Linked DNA regions of Struthio camelus. The protein of the gene in region 1 interacts with the protein of each later gene in a biochemical or structural test. Links are inferred from orthologs where the notes say so. Each region holds a gene or a part of one and is shown in the gene's direction. Other genes may lie near its edges. The genes, in order: IRF4, STAT6 and SPI1.

What was found.
Region 2: the proteins of IRF4 (region 1) and STAT6 form a complex in vitro, tested with the Homo sapiens proteins (2 studies listed by BioGRID). The link is inferred for Struthio camelus from reciprocal best matches to the Homo sapiens genes IRF4 and STAT6.
Region 3: the proteins of IRF4 (region 1) and SPI1 are reported together in a solved structure, tested with the Homo sapiens proteins (2 studies listed by BioGRID, with this or other methods). The link is inferred for Struthio camelus from reciprocal best matches to the Homo sapiens genes IRF4 and SPI1.

What each region holds. Positions count from the first base shown.
Region 1 is NC_090943.1:104,797,610-104,804,568, forward strand, and holds the start of IRF4 (interferon regulatory factor 4), read left to right. Parts: upstream 1-3,932; 5' UTR 3,933-4,052; intron 4,053-5,666; 5' UTR 5,667-5,759; coding exon 5,760-5,963; intron 5,964-6,433; coding exon 6,434-6,620; intron 6,621-6,959. UniProt on the Homo sapiens protein: Transcriptional activator. Binds to the interferon-stimulated response element (ISRE) of the MHC class I promoter. Binds the immunoglobulin lambda light chain enhancer, together with PU.1.
Region 2 is NC_090969.1:283,620-290,679, forward strand, and holds the start of STAT6 (signal transducer and activator of transcription 6), read left to right. Parts: upstream 1-4,039; 5' UTR 4,040-4,641; intron 4,642-5,179; coding exon of another isoform or gene 5,180-5,255; exon of another isoform or gene 5,256-5,330; intron 5,331-7,060. Other genes in the region: LRP1 (prolow-density lipoprotein receptor-related protein 1), read right to left, coding at 5,180-5,255. UniProt on the Homo sapiens protein: Carries out a dual function: signal transduction and activation of transcription. Involved in IL4/interleukin-4- and IL3/interleukin-3-mediated signaling.
Region 3 is NC_090946.1:39,184,493-39,192,381, forward strand, and holds the start of SPI1 (transcription factor PU.1), read left to right. Parts: upstream 1-4,835; 5' UTR 4,836-5,215; coding exon 5,216-5,260; intron 5,261-7,889. UniProt on the Homo sapiens protein: Pioneer transcription factor, which controls hematopoietic cell fate by decompacting stem cell heterochromatin and allowing other transcription factors to enter otherwise inaccessible genomic sites.

The sequences.
Region 1 (6,959 bases):
GAGTGCCTATGACACAAGAAGTCACCACAATAAAGGAAGATTAAAATCTGGCTGTTAAGACTAGCGTCGGACCTGGTTAAACAGCATGTGCTTTTCTGGTGTAAACCAAAGTAATCAGTAGTCTGTCCCCAGATTTCCAGTGTACCTCTGAATTCTATTGATACCAGCCATGGAGGTCTTTCTGCAGCGTAAGGCTGGCTGTTTAGTGATTTGTTTCCTCAGCCCTGCGTCCCAGATTTGCGACTTTGAGCATGGGGTTGTGCAACTTTAATAGTGCTGTTACTTTAGGTCTGAGGTTTGCTGCTGCTTTGGGCAGTTGAAGGCATCATCTCACAGATTGATGATCAGGGATTTTGGAGGATTTCTAAGGGAAGAAGGCACCCAATGGAAATTGGTGCCGGTAACAAATTACTAAGCCCTTCAGAGATCTCCATCTCAGGAAGGAGGTTTGGGAATACTTGAAGATGCAGACAGGCAGCTATGAGCTTTTCAAAACCATCGTTAGCAGCTTAATTCACTTCCGAAAATGCATTTTGCCCAAGTCATTTGTCAAGGGTTTCAGAACAACCTTCGCCAGGCTCCTGCAGGCCCCTGATACCCAGTCTCTGCACAGCTGCATTTTGTTCCCAGTTTGGTGAACTGGCTGCTGGGCAATAAAGCAGGGGAGAGGTTTGTGTCTCCTTCTGCTTCCAGGGGCAAAGGGAAAGTTGTACCAGGTTGGTCAGAGTATGTTCAGGGACTTGAGCATCCACGTGGGGAAAAAAGAAGTTTGACCTTTTGGGCTGAAAGCCATGGTCAGGTGCCTGTTGTCTTCACCTAAGGCTAGAGCCTGACTGCTGATGCAGACGCTCGCTTGCCTTGTGACCTGTGGGTTTGCTGTGGCTGCGAGCTCTGCAGGCACGCAGTGCTCCGCTTGCTGCTTGGACTGCACCTAGTGCAAGGCAGGCTCGACCTTTACCTGTCTCCAGGACCTGCTGTACCATGCACCTTCCTGCCAGAGCTGCGGGTGGATGTCCTGCACAACCGGTGAAGCCGACTTAGCAAAGATGGGAACAGCGAGCAGGTGAGCTCCGCTCCCGCCCCGCGGTCGCCCTGGACAGGTTCCTCTTCTGCGCGAGGAACTCCCCCTGCACGGGTGCTGAGGGGATTTCATGGCCTCCAGCATGGCGGGGAGCCCTGAGTGAGCGGCAGCCCTCGGAGGGCCTCTGTTATGCCGCACCTTGCCTCTGGCATGTTTCCATCAGCTTCTCTGCCTTCAGAACTGTTTTTGCCCTGCACCTCTTCTGGGATGTAGGCAAGCTCCACTGTTATAGTGGGTAGCTCTGCTCCCGCACCCAGCGAAAGTGTAGGGCAGTCTTTCAGAAGGATTTTTTTTTAACTGCGAGGAATAAACTCCCGAGTGCAAGACTGGCTAATACACGTGCCTTCACACAGCTCCCAGTAGCTAGTCTGAGCTTTCGTCTTTGTTGTTTTTCTGCCTTGGGTGCAATTCCCATGCGAGTCAGCTGGAACTTCAGAGGTTTTTGGTGAAAGCAGAACCCAGCTTTCTCTGCCTTGAACGTTTGTGAGCGGCTGTTGAGAAGAAACAGTCATTTTTCCTGGCATGCCTTTAGTCAGTGTGACCTTAAGAGTGTGAAAAACAGAGGGCCTAGTGGTGAATGCAGTGGTTAAGCAGCAGCAAGAGTGTTTTCACAAGGGGACTTAAATTCAGGTATTAACACAGAAAACTTCCATGAAGACAAATGGGGCTTTTGGGTAAGGTTTGACAGGTTGGGTTAGGCACTTACAACAGTGTGGAAATTGCTAGAAAAGAAGAACAGATTGTGAAGTGCCGTAAGCGTTCAGATTATGAGCTGGACCATTTAGGGAGTAATAGGTTCTTACCGTATGCAAAAAGCACACTGTGAAAGTTTACCAGTGCAATACTGCAACATTTAATGCAGATAACACAGTTGCGTTACTGATCAGTTTTCTACTTTGCACACTGAAAATGATGGTCCTAATTTTTTTCACCATCTAAATGGACATGGCTGGTGCCAGAAACCCTGAGTAATGAAACCGGTAAAGCTAATGAGACTTAGCCTGTCTTACTCATGAAAAGACTTATTTGTAAAACTTATTATGCATGCAGGAGTCTAGCTTTAAGCATCCACTCTAAAAATTTAGGCAACTGGAAATAGTTTTCTATTGAGTTCTTTTTGCACAGAGACAGCAACAAACCAGTCAACTAGATAACTCCCCGTACATGTATTGTCTTTTTTTTTTAAGGATTCTGACTGACTTTGTCTTCCCTTAAAGATTTCTGAATTTATAACTTATTTACCTCTCTAACGGTATGTGGAATTCATTGGACAAGTGGAATTATTTTTTCAAAATATTCTCCAGAATTTGAGAAAGCTGTTAATTTTATCCTGAAGGATGTGCTCTAGTGTAGATCAAATCTGCATGTTTCACACTGGTACAGAATTCCCTGTCTTAAAATTTGCAAAAGAGAGAAGGCATTAGATGTGTTCTTTTTATGGTAATACTTCTGGATACATTTTTATACTTAAAGAAATTGCAGTTGGAGCCCTGCGTACCACCCATTCTGGCTTCTAGGAATCATACCTTGAATTTCTGGAAAACGTTTCTGATGCCTATGGCTAAAGCTATGGTTGCTCCTGTCTTGATTTATGATGGCAGTCACCTCCAATGTCCAAGACGTGTTTTAATGTTAAAGGTACTTTAACTAGTGACTGAAAAAAAATCCGACAGGCACTGCCAACTCTTTTTCTAGACGATAGCGTGTGTTACAAACTAAATATCTAAAAATGCCTGTACCTCTCACTTCCCCCTCAAAATGTGGTGATAATTACATCTAAATTTCAGAAGATGGCGTTGAAGATTTGCAATTAATATTCTAAACTCTGCATGTACCCTCCGCACCGGCGGCCTGCCAGAACAGTGCGCGATGACTGGTTTTTGATCTGATACGTTAGCGCAGAAAGGATGTGGATGTGTGTTGGAAACGTTAAAACAGAACAACAACAAGAAAGTGTCGTGGCATGAAACACGTGTTTGAAACCTGAAAGGCGGCAAGGAAGATTTTCACGCAAGTCCGCACCTTGCTCTTCCTCTCCCCCCCCTCCCCCGCCAGCTCCCGCTTCGTTAGCACAGGAGACTCTGCCAAGAAAGCAAGTTATTAACGCCCCCAGCGCTCCCTTGTGCCGGGTGCCCCACGTCCAAGTTGATGCGCTGATGTTTAACACGGGCTTTCCCAGCGGAGAGGCGCCTCTGCCCCCGGGCGGGGTCGCCGCCGGCCCCCAGGGCGGCCGGGGCTGGCGACGGGCCGGGCTCGCTGCCGGATGGGGCCCGGTGGGTTCGTGACATTTTTGGGGGCTGCAGACCACGGGGTAGGCTCGCCGGGGGAGTCCGTCAGCCCGGCTCGGATGCCGTCGGGGCTGGCCGTCCGGCGGAGCGGGAAAAGGCGGCTTTGGCGGCCGGAGGCGCCCCCGGGGCGGGGAAGCGGGGTGGGGGGGGTCGGGGCCGGGCGGCCCCACTCGCGGGACGGGTGGGTGCTACCCGGGGGCCCGGCCGGCGCCGTCTAGTGCGTTTGTGGTGGGTGTAGCTGGCTGAGTATTTTACAGTAAAAGCCGTCTGGCTACCATAGGTAGGAGTTTCCCCATGCTATTTATATACCTGTGTGTCTGTGTGTGTATATATATATATATATATATATTTGTATATATTTAAAAAAAAAAGCGCGGATGCACCGAGGGCGCCGGGCTCCGAGCCCCCCCCCCCCCCCCCACGGCGTGTTTACCAGCAATGGGCATGTGTCACTGCCTCAGATGTTTTCCAGCTCGCAAAGTCCCCGCTCCCCTCCGCCGGCTCCACCTCCGAGCCGGGTCCCGCCTCCCACCCCCCCTCCACCCCCCTCCCCGCCCGGGCCCGCAGCCCTCCATCATATAAAGAAACTTCCCCCGTGCCCGGCGGCCCAGTCGAGGTGCGCCCGTGTCCGCTGCCCGCCCGGGAGCCGGCGGCCCCAGCCCGCTCCGAGCGCCGCGACACAGGTAAGCGGCGGCTTTGGCTGCCGCCGGCCCCGCCGGGGCGCCCCGCTCCGCGCCCCACCGCGCCGCCCCCCCACCCCCCCTCCTCGAGGGCAGCCCCGCGGCGGGGCCCGGCGGGCTGGGGCCGGGGGAGAGAGGGGCTTGGGGAGGGGGGGGGGTGGTCACCTCGCTTCCCCTCGCGGTGGTCTTTTCCTGGAGATGGTGATTTTTTTTTTTCTTTTTTCCTTTTTTTTGGCTAATTACAAAAAATAATTAAAATCCCCCGCCTCGTTTGCCCCTCGCCGGGGCAGCGGCGGGGTGAAGCGGCGCCCCGGCCGGCCCCCCCTCCCCTCCCCGGCGCCCCGAGGGGCCGCGCCGTCCCTGCGCTGCAGAGGGTCGCGGAAAGCTTGTCACAGCTCCCCGGACGGGGACGGGGGACCGTTTCAGGGTGTGCATGCCGGGGGTGAGGATGTGGTGGGGGCCTGGCACGGGCTTGGGGGAGCCGCCCCCCCCCCCCCCCGGGCACGTCTTGCCCTGGGGAGAAACTCGGCGACCAGGTTGGCTGCGGTGGTGGGAGCTGCGCCCTGAGGAGGGGAGTGAGGGGTGCGGAGCTGCCCGCACCAGCGTGCTCACGGCTAACCAGGGGCTCTGACAGTCTCCCTGAGTGTGGAGGCAAGGACTGTGGGTGAGGACTCACTTTTTTATTAGATATAGTTGGACCCCCTACCCCTCCCTCCCCCGCAGCTTTTGGGCGTACAAGCACTTTCTCAGGTCGGGAGGACAAACTTTACTCCAGGTCTACCATCACTGGTGTTGGTTTGCTCATGTTAGGACCTTTCCAGTGGGCGCCCATCACTCTGTGGAGCCTCGCCGCTCCGGGCGAGTGCGCACACCTCTGCGCTTAGCAAGGGCTCTGGGTGTAGCTGGCTGCAAACTGGCCCGCCTCTGGGCAAAGTGTTCTTGTGGCAGGCTCCATAGGTTGGTGTATTTCCACTTTTAGGTATTTGCAATATATAGATTTGAATGTTATTATACATGTGTGTTGGGAGCAGTCGGAGACGTAGATATGTATAGGACATCATGTGTTCGAATGTGTCTTGCTTAAATGAGCTTGAAAAAGCTGCTTCAACATTATAGTTAGGTACCATATAAATCATAAATGTGTCTGAGGCTGTCTAAACTGTGTGCATGTATCTGCTAGTGCATATGTGCACTGTCATGTGGAACTATATTTAAATACAATTTTTTTATCTTTTTGGTTAGAAGAATAAAATCCCGGCTGAACTCAGAGCAGGTCAGGGGGGTTGTGTCTTTAGTCACTCTGTGATGAAAATTTCAACAACTGGCTTGTGTTCATGCAAAACAGTGTCGAGAGGGGGAGGAAAGTCTGTCAAAGTCTGCAGCCTGAGCGGTGCCTGGGGAGGGATGTGAGGGGCCGTGCGCAGCCTCCCGGGGCTCTGCGCTGCAGCGCTACTGTGCTTCCCGGGCCCCCTGCGTGCCGCAGCCCCGCTTAGCGCGGTGCATGCAGCACTGAGCACCAGCACCGCTGGCAGGGCTCCGTGTGGGGTCTCTGACCGGCGCCTGAACTGTGGGTTTTCCTCTCTCTGCATCCTACCCCTCTTCCCCCCTCCCCTGCAGCCCCCAGAGAGCCAGTGCGTGGGCACGTTGCAGAGAAGCGGGCTCAAGTGAAGCACCCCAAAACCCCCCATCCCGACCCCCAACGCGAGTGGCATGAACTTGGAGCCGGGCGAGTGCGGGATGAACTCAGTGAGCTGCGGCAACGGGAAACTCCGCCAGTGGTTGATCGACCAGATTGACAGCGGCAAGTACCCGGGGCTGGTGTGGGAAAATGACGAGAAGAGCATCTTCCGCATCCCCTGGAAGCACGCTGGCAAGCAGGACTACAACCGTGAGGAGGATGCTGCCCTCTTCAAGGTAGGGCTCAGCCCAGCGTCGGGGCTGCAGGGGTGTAGCGGCTGGGCCACCGTCGTGGCTCCTCGCCGTCCCGTCTCTTCCATGCCGGCAGGCTCACTCCACTCAGGGACTCGCTGCCCCCAGCGCCCCTCGCCCCGGTCTAGGTTTGCAGCGTGAGACTGCCCTTCCTTTCCCCATTCCCTCATGTGGAGCTAAATGCTCGTGGGACTGCTGCACATCTGTTTCCATATTGACTCTGGATCATTTTTTCCCTTTTCTTGTGCCTCCAAACCTGTTTTTCCTTACCATGTTCCTTACCGTGTTCCTAATGCTGCTTTTTTCTTAGCCTAAACCTGCAGGGAGTAAATTCATGCGCATATAAGCACACACATATATGCTATTTCAGGCATTGTGATCTTGTACCTTGTAGTTTGATTCTTTTTTTTTTTTTTTTTTCCCCTTGCTCTTTTGATTATCTGAAATGTTTCCAGGCTTGGGCTCTTTTTAAAGGAAAGTTCAGAGAGGGCATTGATAAACCAGATCCCCCTACCTGGAAGACAAGATTAAGGTGTGCTTTGAACAAGAGCAATGACTTTGAAGAACTGGTGGAGAGAAGCCAGCTGGACATCTCAGATCCCTATAAAGTGTACAGAATAGTGCCAGAAGGAGCTAAAAAAGGTAAAATGTCTCAGATTCCCTGTGTAATGGAGTGTGAATATCTGTCTCACTGTAAGCATATGAGGACTGAAGTATGCTTTTCTGGAATGGCCATGCAGTCTTTTTAAGTGTGTTAGTGTTGCGGTGAATACAAGGAGCTGAAGTGCAGGGCTCAAGTACATCTTCTTCTGATGACTAAAATAAGAGGCTCTGTCTGTGGGAGGACTGTCGGCATTTGAGTCAGAGCACTGAAAGGGAGCCCTTTGTAAAAGACAGAGATGTGCTTCTTGTTCGTTGCTGCAGGAATTGCTCTTTTACCTGGCATCTGCCTTCCAGTTCTCTGTAGAGAGAGGCCCATGT
Region 2 (7,060 bases), on another chromosome or scaffold:
TGGGCATCCTTCCCCCTTTCCTTCGGGATCACAGATTCACACCTCTCCTCACCTTCCCAGCGGCCATAACCCCGACACAGGTCTCACGTGCAAGAGAGAAAACTCCATTTCCCAACCCAAAGCCCCACGCTTCCGCCTCCATGGACGGATCACAGAAGCAGGAGGACATCTGCAGACGTGGGGGAGAGGAGGGTCCAGTAGCCCCTGGGCCCCGGGCTGGTGACTCCTGGCCCGGGGGCAGCACCGCCCGGCCCCAAGGACTTTCGCAAGCGCCTCTCGACCTCGGAAGCGCTGTGCTGGTCACGCGCACACAAAAGCTGAGATTTCACAAATGCTCCACCGCGATCCGGCAGCGAGCGGCCAGCCCCAGCACAGCACGTTATCCCCCCTGCAAAGCCAGCCCCGACCTCGGCGGCGGCAGGAGCGAGACGAGGAAGCTGCTGACCCTGCAGTTAAGGCGAGCGACAGGGACAGGAGGCAGCAGGGGCAGCCGGTGAAGGCCGAGGTGTTTTGGAGGCCCAGAACCAAACCGAGGCCGCTTCTCACCTCCTACCCGCTCCCCCTGCAACGCTTCCAGACGGCCTTACGAAACGGCGCAGAGCTCTCCCTCCTCGCCCCGCCGGGACGCTCCGTCCTCCCCTGCCCACCTCCGCCCGCGAGGAACGGGAGCGCCAACGCCAGCAAGAAGCTCTCCGTCCTCGGGGCCTTGGAGGAGGGGTCTGCACCAGGACGGAGAGAAGGGGGAGCTTTATTATTCGGAGCGATGCAGAGATAGAGGTAAAACAAGCACAACTCTGCCCTCTGGCAGAGCAGCCCTCTAGCAGCCCTCCATTGGCCAGGTAGAGCCAGCGCTAGACACCCCACGACCCGCCAAGGCCACCGCCATCCTGCAAAGGCCAGCTCGACCACCAGGACCAGGAGCTCTCCCAGAGCAGAGGAGCATGGGACAGGGTCATCACTTCTCACGTCAAACCATACCCCGTCCCAAGCCAGCAGAGATGCCAGCAGAACGCTGACCCCATCTAACCAGAGGGAGAAAGACCCAGAGCTTCCCCAGCGGGTTAGGTGCTGTTCAGTCTTCCAGCTTCCCAGAGACACGGTTTCTCCATAGCCACGTTGCAGCTGATCCTGCCTCCGGGAAAACAGCGCTTGCAGCTAACCTGGGAGCCCCTCAGAGGGGCTTTCCAAAGATGGGCCCCAGGAAGGTCCCCTCTGCGTACCCTGGCCCTATGTGGCCAACCTCACCTCGAAGCTGCTGGTCTCGTCACCCAGTCCCCCGCAGGGAAACGCAAGAGGGCTACGCTTTTGAATTCAAGCCTGAGAGCATCACGTAGCAGAGAGTTCCTCAGGTCGAGCTCTTTTATGTCATTTTTTTCCCTTTAATTTGTCTCTGCTCGTCAGCTTTAAGCCTCTTGTTTCTATGACCAGAGACTGCCTCTCCCTCCTGCCCCAGGAGGTTTGCAGGGACAAGGTGGCACACAACTGCCATTGCCTTTTCAGAAGCTCTGCAAGAGTTGATGGCTCTAGCGACCTGCTGGGGACAAATCTCTCCAGCTGCAGAGGTCCCTAGGACCTCTTAGGTGCATTCACAGCTGCTGGTCTGCAGGATGGCCATCTCACATGCTCACTCATGATGAGAGGTTGCTCCTACCTGGAAAGTGCCCTGCCAGCTGAGACACTGCTGGGACGGGGAAGGAGGAGTCACCCCATCCCTGCCCTGCAGCTAGCCTAACAACCAGATCCGGGTCCCTTGAGACACTCCCCCATCAGACTAATGTTCCTCGTTAAGTGAAAAAGCATCTGTGTTTCTCTTCCCAACCCCTCTCTCTGCCAGGTTCCTGGGGAGTGAGTCACTCTTGCAAAGCTAAATCTAGACAGTTTGGCTTCTCCACACATCCACACCTTGCCAATCACGCAAGACTGCAAGGCTCATCCTACTCCGGCAGCAAGATCCAGAAATACAAAAGCTGTCCAAGCTTGAAATAGCCCCTCACAAGAGCACTCCTACTCTCCTGCCCCTGACAACACTCAAGACACCCAACGCCTCTTGTGCCATCCCCAGCCAAAGAAGGGAGCTGGGTCTGGCAGGCAGGGCTGCAAACTGGGCACAACCTGCAGGCACGCCAGGCAGGCCACCCTGGCAGCGCAACTCCGCACTGCTGGAGCGCCAGGTGCTGGTGGTTCCCGACGGGCTGCCGTGCTTTAACACCTCCATCCCCTTCAAGCCAGCAGTCACCCTTCGTGTCCAAGCAGTGCCTGCGGAGGTTGCAGGCCCAGCTGTAGCGGATGCTGCAGAGACACGCGATGACGCAATCCCATGCTCAAAGTGGGGGAAGAAAACCGGTCTCACCCAGTGAATCCTCCACGTATCTCCATCCAGCACCAACAGGAAGCAGCGTCATCCCTCACCTCCAGCTCTGGACCCCGCACGTAGAAAAGCCAGGCCTGCCCCCGCTCCCGTAGTGAGGGGACAAACCACTGCTGCTCCCAAAAGCAGAGCCAGCCAGCACTCAGCAGCTGCAAATCAAGTACGGGCTGGTGGCAAAGAGGAACCAATTAAGGTGAAAGTCTAGTCCGTTCCCCTCCAGGAAGGGGAGGCTTTGGGCACCAAGGCCTTTGAGGAACAAGGAAAGACTTGGGTGGTTTTACTCTTCAGAAGCACCAAGAGCTGGGAGAGTGCGAACAGCCTCCTGCAGAGCAGAGAGCTCCCAGGTGCACCCCCTAGGCCCACTGCAGAGCGAGGGTCTCGCCATGCGCAGGATGCCGGGGCACCCTCCCCGTCCTGCCCCCGCGACCCGGGGCCCCGGCGGCAGCACCTGCTTCCTTCCACCAGCAGCCCCCAAGCTGCGCCGCCGCTCCACCTCTGCTGAGCCCAGCTCGGCTCAGGCCCTGTGCGGATGCACTCGGGGAAGCGGGCGGGCGCGCGCATGCATGCACACGCACGTGCAACACGCACTGCCCTCGTACACATGAGATGGGCCAGGCCACCAAGGCAGCGAGAGGAAAGCAACAGGCTGGATCACCCCTGCCGCCCCTAAACATGAGGGTTTCCAAACCGGCAGTGGAGCAATCCCCCCCTGCCCGCACCGCCTCTCCCCAGCATGGTTCACTGTGCAACGGGGCCCAGGGAGGTTTGACGCCCCGGCAAGCGGGAAGAGGAGCCCTGCAGAGACAGGAGCCGTGGACCAGTGCCCTTTGTCCCCCTGGAGAAGCTCTTCCACCCACCCCATCTGCTGGACTTTGTCTCCTATCTCTTCTACCACCAAAGCCAGAGAGGGATTAACAGCTTCCAGCACCGTGCACCAAGGGAGCAGGCTCGGGGGGCAGGCGCAGGACCGCTCTCTGCCTAAGGAAGGAGCATCCTTTCCACGGAGCAGGGCAGGACCCCCGCGCCCACCCCCAGCTCTGCCCCGGGCTGTCCGCGCCGCGCCGTCCCTGCGACTCGATTCCCCCCGCAGGGCCCACCGCGGCGGGCACGCTCCTGCCCGCGGCGCACCCCTGCTCCGGCGGACGCCGCGGGGCCGCCCGGCCTCCGAGACCAGCTCCGTGCCTTATTCAGCAGCGGCCCCTCCGGAAGCAGCGGGGCTCCCCAGAACCCCCTTTGCAACCTCCCAGGTGAACCCCACCCGGCACCCCGCTCCTGCCGCCAGGCCACGCGAAGGGTTTCTGGGGTGGGCACACCCCAAGGGGGAGATGCTCCCGCGCGGGGAGGCGCGCAGCCAGCCGCTCGGCAGGAAGGGGGTGCTTCCCGCGCCGGTTCCCGTGGCTCCCCGGCCGGGTGGGCAGCGGGGCAGAGGAGCTCCGCGTCGCCGTCGCCCGTTTCCACAGGCAACACCGCTTATGCGATGACTGATGCCTGCCCCTCCCGCCCCCGCCAGCTCCCGAATTCAGCGGCTTCAAACCGCAGCCCAGCGAAGGGGAAGGCGTCTGGGGGACGCGGGGGCCAGGCGAGCTCAGCGGGAGCAGCCGGACCCCGCCGGGCCCTCGGTGCCGGCGCTGCACGTGCCGCCTCCCGCCACCTCCGCCCTTCGGACCGAGCACCCAGAGCGAGGGACGGGAACGGAGGCTGCAGCCTCCTGCAGCACCGGCCGCTAATCGGGGGCAGGAGAGTTAATTTGGGGCCGGGGTGTTATCGAGCCTTCGCCCGCCTGGCCTCGCCACGGGCCGGCGCTGCTCCTGCCTCTGCCGCACCACCAAATAACCACAGCTTCGCCCGGCTCCCTCCAAGCGGGGGACCGGAAGGGACAGAAGAGCCTTCCCCAAAAAATCCCCTCACCAATCAACCGCTCCAGACCCGCCTGCCTTCATCAGGCGCTTCTGCACAGCGGGGACCCATAGAAGGGAAACGTCGCAAGCGAGCCCGGGAACAGCCCCCGTTTCTGTGCTTTTGAAGGGAAAAAGCAACCTTCTGCCCCACGCATTCAAACGCCGCGAGGAACTCCTTCACCGCTAGCTGCATTTGTTGCGCTGCCAGCTCCTCGGCGCGCTCGCGCTGCCAGCGACGGCCCCTCGCGCGCGCAAAGGCACCAGCCACCGAGCTGACGAGCTCGCAAAACTATTTACTGAATAGATCAATAAGAGCAGGGCCTGGACGTGCGCGGCGCAGGGAAAAGCAGCTCGGCCGGGCTGTCCGGCCGCTCGGTAAACACTTCGCGGGTGCCACCGGCGCGGCCCCGGCCCCGGCCCCGGCCCCGCGCCCGGCAGAGCCGCTTTCGCGCAGCGCCGCGTTATGCAAGAGGCGGCCGGGGGCGCCGGGTCCGCGCGGCCTCTCGGCCCGGCGGCAGCGCCGGCCGCGACGGCGAGTCACAACTTTCCTGCTCGGCTACCGGGGGCGGGGGGGGGGGAGGGACCGTTTGATTCCAGGGGAGGAGAACGAAGCGTTATTGCAGCTAATGGAGAGGAACGGGAAATTATCTGCCAGGGATATATTTGGGGGGGGGGGAGGATTTTGCTTTATTTGCTGAAAATCTGGGAAAAGTTCGCCGAGGGAGGAGGAGCTCGTCCCCGTCCGCGCCCCCCCCCACCCCGCGGGGCTCCGCGCACGGCGGGGGGGCACGAGGCGGCTCGGCGCCCCCCGCCCCGAGCGCTGCCGCCGCCGCCCGGCCCGGCCCCCCCCCGCGGCAGCCCCGACGGGCGCGGCGAGCCCCGCGCCGGGCGGCCCGGCGGGGCGCGGACTCACCGTCGAGGGCGCGGGCGGCGGGCGCGGCGAGCAGGGCCAGCAGCAGGCAGGCGGCGAGGGGCAGCGGCGGCCCCATGCCGGCGGTGCGGCGGCGGCGGCTCCTCACGCCGTGGTGCCCGCGGGGCGGCGCGTCCCGGGCCCGCGCACCGACATCCGCGGAGGGCGGGGAGGGGAGGGAGCGGAGGGCCGGGCCGGGCCGGGGCGGGCGGCGAGCGAGGCCCCTCCGCCTCGCGGCCCTGGGCGGCGGCGGCGGCGGCGGCGCCCTCGGGACGGGACGGGGCGGCCGCGGGGGCGGGGGGCTGCGCGCGCCGCCGCCGCGGGATGGAGCGCGCCGCCGCCCGCTGACGTCACCGGGCCCGGGCCGCCGCGCGGGGGGCGGGGGGCGTCGCGCGCCGACGGGGTGGGGGGGGGTCGTGCGCGGCGCCCGCGCGGTGCGCATGCGCGTGCGGTGCGGGGGCTGCGGGGCCCCCCCTCCCGCTAGCCCGCGGGAGGGGCTGAGGATGGGGATGGGGGTGGAGATGGGGCGAGGGGAATGGGAATGGGGATAGGGGATGGGGATAGGAATGGGGTGAGGAGATGAGGATGGGGATAGGGGATGGGAATGGGGATAGAGGATGGAGAATGGGGTGAGGGGATGGGGTGAGGGGATAAGGATGCAAATGGGAATAGGGATGGGGATGGGGATAGGGGATAGGAATGGGGTGAGGGGATGGGTGGGGATAGGGGATGGGGATGGGAATAGGAACGGGGCAAGGGGTGAGGATGGGGATAGAGGATGGGGATAGGGGATGGGGAATGGGGTGAAAGGATGGGGATGGGGGATGGAGATGGGGCGAGAGGATGGGGATGGGGAATGGGGATAGGGGATGGGGAATGGGGTGAGGGGATGGGGTGAGGGGATAAGGATGCAAATGGGAATAGCAATGGGGATGGGGATAGGGGAAAGGAATGGGGTGAGGGGATGGGGAATGGGAATGGGGGTGGGGAATGGGGGTGGGGATGCAATGGGAACGGGGATGGGGGATGGGGAATGGGGGTAGGAGCAGGGGCACGGATGGGAATGAGAATGAGGATGGGGATGGGAATGGGGAAAGGGGATGGGGCAGGGATGGGGACAGGGAATGGGGAGGGGAAATGGGATGGGGATGGGGCAGGGAATAGGGATGGGGATAGGGGATGGGAATGTGCGATGGGCATAGGGCAGGGATGGGGATAGGGGCAGGGGGCTGGGGCAAGCATGCCGCAAGCCCCTGTCCCCCCGCAGGCAGGAGGTGCCCCGGGGGAACGCGCGGGGCCAGGGCACCCGGCCAGGGCACCCTGCTCCCTCCGAGCTGCGATCCCCGGGTTTGGGGCTGCCGCCGGTCGGGGGGAGCAGCATGGGGGGCGCTCACCCCTTGGCACGGCCGGAGGCGGCTCTCCCCAGAGACCCCTTCCCCTGCAGGGAACGTGACCCTCCGTCGCCGCAAGCTGCGGCGCCGGCCGGGGCGAGCCGGGGCCGCGCTGCCGACGGCTGCAGCGCTGGGAAGGGCCCCGGGGAGCCGGCTGGCGGAGGGGGCAGCTGCAGGCCGGGGGGTCCCCACCTCCGGGCGAGCACCACGGCTGGGGAGCCCGTCCCAGGAGCGCGCCGGCGGCTCTGCCATCGCAGCGGGCCCCGGGCCATCGTGCAGCTGCCGCGTCACCCGGCCGTGCGGCAGCGCGGGGACAGTGGGGCGCGCGGGGCAGCCGCAGCGCTGCAGCCGCACGGCGCCGGGCCCCTGGGCCGGGACCTGCCTGCGCCCCCTTCCCCGAGTGACATCACACGCCGTCCCCCCCACCCCGTCCCGGCCAGGCGGCAGGGCTGCCAGGGCGCGGGGGGGTCGGCCCCAGGGCAGAGCGCCCGGC
Region 3 (7,889 bases), on another chromosome or scaffold:
AGAAATGAGAGACTAGACTGTAGGTTCAAGGTACAACTATGTGAAGCGCTGTTAGATACTACTGCTTGCATCTTAGTGACGCTACTGACTGGGATGTAGATTTCAAGAGTAGATGGCATAAGAGCATTCTTCTACATTGTCTGCAGAATGCAGAAGACCACTAAAAACTGACACCAAATCATACAGCTATTTGGACATGCCTTAAAGCCAAAACAACTCTTCCCAAATACAGCAAAATAATCAAATATAGCTGTTATACAAGCAGATCTTGAAGCAGTATGAATTGCCCAAACGGAGATTTTCTTCCTTGCTTAATTCTGCTCTACAAACAGTTTAAAACTTAGTAATAAAATGATAAATGAAGTGTTTTTCATTACTGCAAGAGACTGGTTTTGATAATGTGGTTCCTAAAAAATCCATGAAGCTTTCTGAATTAGTACTGTCCCAAGTTATTCCTCTTCCTTCCAAAGAAAATATGAATCTTCATTCTGATATAGATTTAGTCCAGTCTACACTTGAAATCTTTGCCAATACAGTAAAATTAGGTAAGACTGAGATATTTTAATGACATTTTTATGACATTTCCCACTAGTTAAAGTTCTTGTACAGATGCAGTTGCATAAAACTTGGGAACCACACAAAGTGGACTGTCAAAAGCACTTTTTAGCTGCTACAAACTGCATCAACCTTAAGAGGGGATCCCATATATCCAGAAAAAGTCTTTGTTCAAGTGTAGTCACAGTTAAAAACCTGTAGGTCTCACAAAGAAACATCAGTGAGTGATAACCTGTCACATGGAAAAGGGGAGTATATATTAAAGTGGAGACTACATTCAGACTGTTAAAGATCCCAAAGTAAAGCTCCACATGAGAACAATTTGTAATAAATTCTTATCAGCTGGTAGCTTGCAGCAGCTCCTTTCTAGTTCCTACTCTCTCACTATGGAAATATGCAACAAAGATATTTCAACTCATATCTTCCAACTCAGTAGTCGTATATGTAACAAAGTTAAATGCAGAAGACTGCCCCTGACTCCACAGATTCCACAGTGAGAGAGATCCATAGGCTCTTAAGAGAAGAGCGCAAACCCCACATGGCATCTGAGTGGATGTTAAGGTTGAAGGATGACACGTAAGACCCACAAGCCATGCGATCTCTGGGTAAAACAAGTTCAACAGTAACAGTTCTGGGAAGAATATGCAAGATATAAGGGGATCTCTTGTTTAGAGGTCTGATCTTCCTGTTACAAGCAAACTCAGTAGCAGAGTCTGTGTAAACACCTGTTTCTGATTAAGAGGCTTCAGGATGAGTGATGTTTTATGTGGTTTCAGTAGGGAGAAAAAGTACCTTGTGAGCACCAAACAAGGTTTGAGGTAAAGGGACCTCTTTGTGATGTGGCTGTGAGTTGAAAACCTTTTGCTTTGGTAGCTTGTGGTTAGAAATAGTTTGAAGAATAAATGGGTAGAGGTAGGGGAAAAACTGCCTTCAGAAGTATCTGAGGCACACAGTGAGGTGATGTTTAGGGGGAGAATAACTCAGATTAAAATCACAGAATCACAGAATGGTTGAGGTTGGAAGGGACCTCTGGAGATCATGTAGTCCAACCTCTCTACTCAAGCAGGATCGCCTAGAACATATTACCCAGGATTGTGTCCAGACAGCTTTTGAATATCTCCAGGGAAGGAGACTCCACAACCTCTCTAAGCAGCCTGTTCCAGCACTCAGTTACCCTCACAGTAAAGAAATTTTTCCTCATATTCAGATGGAACTTCCTGTGTTTCAGTTTGTGGCTGTTGCCTCTCGTCCTATGAAAGTTAAATGTTTTCAGAAATTTAATCTTTCAGCTGAGCAGGTTTTTCTCCAGTCCCCCAAATTCCCATCATGGAAAAGGATCCCTAGCCTACTTTAAAAGCCTTTTTAAAGGTCAGATTACACTCTGTGAGGAGCACCAACATCATACAGAGTATAGCTTAGAAATTCATGTATCTTGGGTCGAATTACTTTTTCCTCCTGTTTATTCCAAACAATATTGTTAAACTCATCTTCTTCTGCCACCTTCCCTTCCGAGAATTTCTGCTGGCTCCCATTCTGCTTTGGCATCAAGTTCAGACTACTGGTCCTCATCCTCAAGGCTCTACATAGTTCTCATCCCTGCATCTCATTTATTTCTTCCTCTACTTGCTCTGCCAGCATTCATCACCAGTAAATACCTTTATGCTTTTTGCCAGACCTTCTTATTGCCTGAATCAGCATCACTGATACTATTTTCCAGGCAACTTTATTCCGCCTGTTGTAATTAATTAAATCAATATCTGCCTCTCTAATCTGCCCCCGCACTGAAGACATACCAAAATGTTTTAGAATAAAGGTAAGCATTTAGAATTACAACAAACAAATCTGGAAGCATCTCACTACAGTAAGTGATGAATGTATTTGCATAAACACTCTCCTTCATTAACATGTTTGAGTTTTTTCCATTTTTAAAAAAATATTATTTTTAAAGTAAAACCTTACAGCATCTCAGGATAGGAACTGGATTGGTTTGTGAACTGCTAGGTATTGGGTAAATAACAGAGATTATTAACAGAGACCCTGGAATTTCAGACATAAGTTATAAAGAGAGGGGAAAAAAAAAGTGATAAAAATGACTTGAGATAGGCTAAAAAAGACATATATAAAAAGTCTGGTAATTATTTATATGCACTCAGATATTTTTGATGGGCATTTTGATAGACAACAGTGAAACTATTCTTTTAGATTCTGTAGTTCAAGAATGTATTAAAGCTGTATCTGATAAGCACCTCTCTACTAATTTGGTAATTTCATATGTTGTTGTTCTATGTGTAAGTCATCAAATAAAGCACTGCAAGGACCTGGGCCAAAAGTAGGCATTCTTTTAAGGGTGAGAAAATTCTATGATGACAAACAGGGGATAAAAACCCAGTTAAATCTAGGTTGAATTTTAGCAAGATTGTTACTAGTAATGTTCCTATACAGATACAGTACTGTAAACAAGCATTTTATTTAACTATTAGCATTTCCATTTATGGAGATACTCTCCTTCCTAGGAAACTAATTCAACTTCTGGACTTCCTGCTGTTCCTCAAGCTTTATGATGTCTTATTTTCTTCTAATTCATTACATAGAGAATCAATTTGATTATTTATGTTGATAACCTTGGTATGTTTATGATTACTCCTGGTCATTAATGTTGGTCCCTAAGTACAGTAAAGCTGGTGCAAAGTATGTATCCTTATTAGGTAATTTCCTGTGCTAAGAGACAGCATTGAAATATCCTCCAGTGTATTAAATATAGTTATGTTACACTTTAATAAAAGACCCTCTCTGGAACACACTACATTTTTATGCCTTCCAGTAGCTGTTTAAGGTAGATTTCAGTGTATTAAGAGTCAGATGTCTTCTCTGTTCAGAATAGCATTTTTAATATACGTACAATTGCCACAATGACTTTTATCATCTATTATCCAATTATCCATTTTAAGATTTATTTATGTTACTGTTCATTCCTTTCTGCTCTGTTTTTATTGATTTTTATCATCAATACTTTATTTTGCTTCTCTCCTGTTCCGCCAGGTAAACCTGGTATCTGCTAGGCTGGCATCGAAAGAGAGACTTGAGAATTACCTCAGAGACAAAACTGGACTGTTTAGCAGTTTATTCATTTCTAGGTTAACGTGAAGATTTTTGGTATCAGTAAAATAGGACTGAAATGCATATGGATCAACTAATGCTGATGAAATTCAGTCTGGGGCTTCAAGAGTTAATCTCCCATCATGTTCTCAATCTTATCCCATTGCTAATACGGTTTGCTTGTAGGGTTCCTTAGGGTGGGGAATGAGAGGAACTTGTGAGTGGCCTCTGGTTTTACCAGTGTATGAGGGAGGAAGTTTGCAGTGGCTGAAATTCCCCCTCAGACATAGACCCAGGTGAGTGGTGAGCAGGCTACTTTCAAAAGCAGAACCTGTGGCACATGGGCATAGATTGAAGGGGAACAACCCAGACAAAGAAACTTCACTTTTCCAAAATATTAGTAACTAACTGCAAAGCAAGAAAGCATTTTGCAGAGTGAGAGAGTTCTTCCCTTGTTGCAAGGGCCCAGCCCCTCAATCCTGCACTGTGGCCCACTCACTCATGCCTCTGCCAGAACCATTCGTAAGAAAGGCACATGTTCAGTGCAGCCAAATGCAAGCAAAACAGGAGGATAAAGAGATGGGAAAACACCACATAAGAAGAAGAGCAGAAGAAAGAGAAATTTCAGTATCTGACTTTTCAGATACACTTCTACAGCTCTGTTCTCTACTCACTGTTAAAGGCACTCTTCTGGGATAAGTAGAGGCCATGACATAGGACTTGTTGCCCACTTGCTTTCTCCTTGCAGGACCTAGAAAAGAAATCATAAAAAGCAAATAAGAGGACTCAGTGACTTTCACTGAACTATTTCACTTTATAAACAAGTTTGTAAAGAAAGTCGCACTGGCATAGCTTTAATTTTCTGTAGAAACCAAAGACTATGATAGTTGAGACTGTATACTCTTTTTTCCCCTTCTGCTAATTATTTCCCCTTCTGCCACTTCATTCCAGCATAAGACTATCATTAAAGCAAGTCTGTGCCACTGCATTATTCTCACAGCAGTTGTCAGGACTGTAGCTCTATGCTACATCACTAAACCCGAGAGCAGCGACATCATTATGGTTCATCTCCAGTGGGAAGCACATAGTCTTCCACAGTCAGTAAGAACACTGTACCCGTATGCTTGCTTATTGGTAGTAGGCCTGGGCTCTGGGTTGCTGATTATAAGTAAGCACCTGCCCATGGCAGATCTGGCTAAGGGCAGACTTCCTGTTACAGTGCCGCAGCTCCTTGAAATGAGATTTATGCAAACCGGCTAAAAGCTGTGATGTCACAGCGCACTGATAGACCCAAGGGCTATCTCCCTTCTACAGACATTTGATAAAATCAGGAACTTCAGATACAACTCGGGAAGAAGTTCACCTCAGAGCCTATTAGGGCAAACTATGAAAACTTGTTAGGGTCTTTCTCCAATCCTGAGATCCATTACTGCAAGGGGACTTCAGAGAGTCCAAGGATCTCACTTTCGTTGTGTTTTTTTGTTTGTTTCATGTGATTTTTTAAGTCAGTTATTCTGGATGTTTGAAAACTGAATTAAGAAAAATTCACTCAGAAGTTGGCTGAATGTTGCAAGCTTGCAAAATGGAAGGATTTCCCCTCATTCCCCCTGTGAGTATATGGGGTTTATTCCTAATATGGATGATTGGGCTCAGTAGCAAAAGACAAAGTAAACTAGGTTTTATTATTTGAGAATGTCTCTCTTTTGGTCTGTATTTGTACAGCAAGGAAGTTGGCAATATATAAAGCTAGTGACAACGTTGCAATGAATGGGGAATTAACATTTCCTCCCTAAACTTGTATCTGATTTTGATCTCCAGTTATTTTCAAAGATTAAACTCATGGTATTTTTGTAGGGTATACGTATAGCAAGCCAGTAAAATTTTTTCTTCCTTATTGCCTTTGCAGTATAAGGCCAAGTCTTGCTTCAGGTTGTAATTATTAATTAGTTTTGAGACTCTGACATAGTTTATGTATTAAATATCTACCAATCTATGAGAGAAGAGTTGCCGAATGCTGCTTTTACATTTTGCAGACTTCAGGTCTTTGTGCTCTTTGTAATGATAGAATTCTAGTCTCTAGCTTCTCTTGCTCATATTTTACATTGCATATTTTGTGACTTTTATTTAAAATATAAGCCAGGAAATAACCCTGAATCATTTTGAACATATATGGATGCACTTGAAAACTTTCCTATTTCAGGCAAGTAGTGAAGTGGCGAGAGCAAAAATAAAATGGCCCTTAATTGGGTCTTTCGATATTTTCTCCTAGTTACAAATTTTTCTGTATGTTTATACAGTGTTTCTGTTCTTTCTTTAGCTCTGCAGCATTTTTACACTTTTACATTGTGGTCAGTTTGGGGATTATTATTTGTGAAGTATATAATCTCACTAACCAGCTGTTCAGAAACAAACTGTAATGGGACATCTCAAGATAGAACGGGTAAAATAGGCCCTAACAAGATTTGCTAATTCCGTAGTAGCTGAAAAGATGGTCAGAGAAGGTGTTTTACTTGGCCTTTTACGTGGTAGATGACATATGGTATTTGCTATGTGTGTTCGGAAAAGAGAGTAAGAGACAGTGCAACTCCAAGAGTACTCTAATCAAATTTGTATCATGCTTTCTTTTTGTCTTGTCCCATCTAATGAAAGCTAAAGGCACGTTTCTTTATTTTCTATACAGAAAGATGGCCCTTTGAATTCCTTTCATGTTTTGTATCCACATTGAATAAAAAAATACTTATTTGCGTGAAATCCATTACTCTAGCAGTTCATCAGCTCATGGCCACGAAATCCTTTATTCACCCGCAGGGTGAGAAGACCCTAAGAAACTTCTTTTGTTTTCTTAAATACTCAAGTTACCCAGTGGATCTACTGTAAATATGTCAGGATAAGAATTTGAAAAGAAACTGAGAAAATGAAAACATTACATAAAGATTTCTGAATATGTTATTTGTTGGGCTTAAAAAAACAAGAAAAAATCTTGTCCTCCACTAGCATCTCCCATTATTTTTACTAATAATGTTCATTTTCTGTCTACTCATTTCCTCATAGCCACCCTCTGTGTCCCATTTCTTCACTCTTGAAGTTCAGCGCATAGATTGAATAAATGGAGTGAAAATCCAACACAGTCTGGCTCATATTCTAATTTTTGTTGTAGAAAAGTATTCTGGCTGAACTCTGCTCAGGTGAATGAGGTAACAGGCAGTGAAAATGAAATCACATCTTATAGGAATGCTTGACAGGGCAATTTGTTTTGGGTTTTTTTTGTGATTAATATGTTCAAAAATGAAAGCTTTGTGTTTTGTACTTCCAAAATTGTTTTAAATGTACTTGATCTGAGTACTGACAGTTACAGCCCCACATGGCATCATTATAAAAGTCTGTGCCTCCTGGGACTTTCTTCAGAGGGGCGACATTAGCCCGTTTCTAGACACAGGGTTTCTGTGAAGCACTACTTCCCTCCTCTGCCCCTCCCCTTTCAGTTGAGGGTGGATTGGTAACTGCCTTCCTCTTGACTATGCTAGAAGACTCTTAACCTTCGTTTGAAAAGTGCCACTCAAATGGTTTAAGAGTTATTGCATCTTTCTTTGAAGATTAAGAACTTTATATGGAAAAGTCCTGCAAACTGAGCCCATGTCTTTTAATACATAATAGAATCTTGTATCAGTTGTGCTACTGGGCAGAAAACTAATAAAGCAAACACCTTCCTCTAAAGAGGCCCCCAGGTTACCTGTGAATCCCTAAGTAGCCACCTGTAGTACTCAGCTTGGAATGGAGATATATTTGTATGAGAGCGAAAATGTACCTTATAAGCATTCTGTTTCACATAAGTGCACCTCCAAGGTGGTCCTGTGAGGCTGGCCCAATGAGTGCTCATGTTAATATTTATACTCATCTTTTCTAAAATAGTTATACTGTAAATTTTTCCAAGGAAATAGGTTAATCTTGGCCTTCAAACTTGTCTCAGCAGCACATCATTGGAAACTGTGTGGAGTATTTCTGAATCACATGCCAACGAATAGTTATGTCAGGATAACAAAAAAAGATCAGAATTCAATGCATTTGTAATCACCTGGAATCATCTGACAAAGTTTAAGTGAACAATAGGAATTTTCAAGTTGTTATTCAGTTGAATCCTCTGTATCTCTCTCAACCAATGCCAGCTATGCTCTACCCAAATAGTTTTGTGCCTTTTCCCTTGTTGCAACAACTTCGTCTAGATTTTCAGGATAAAGAAG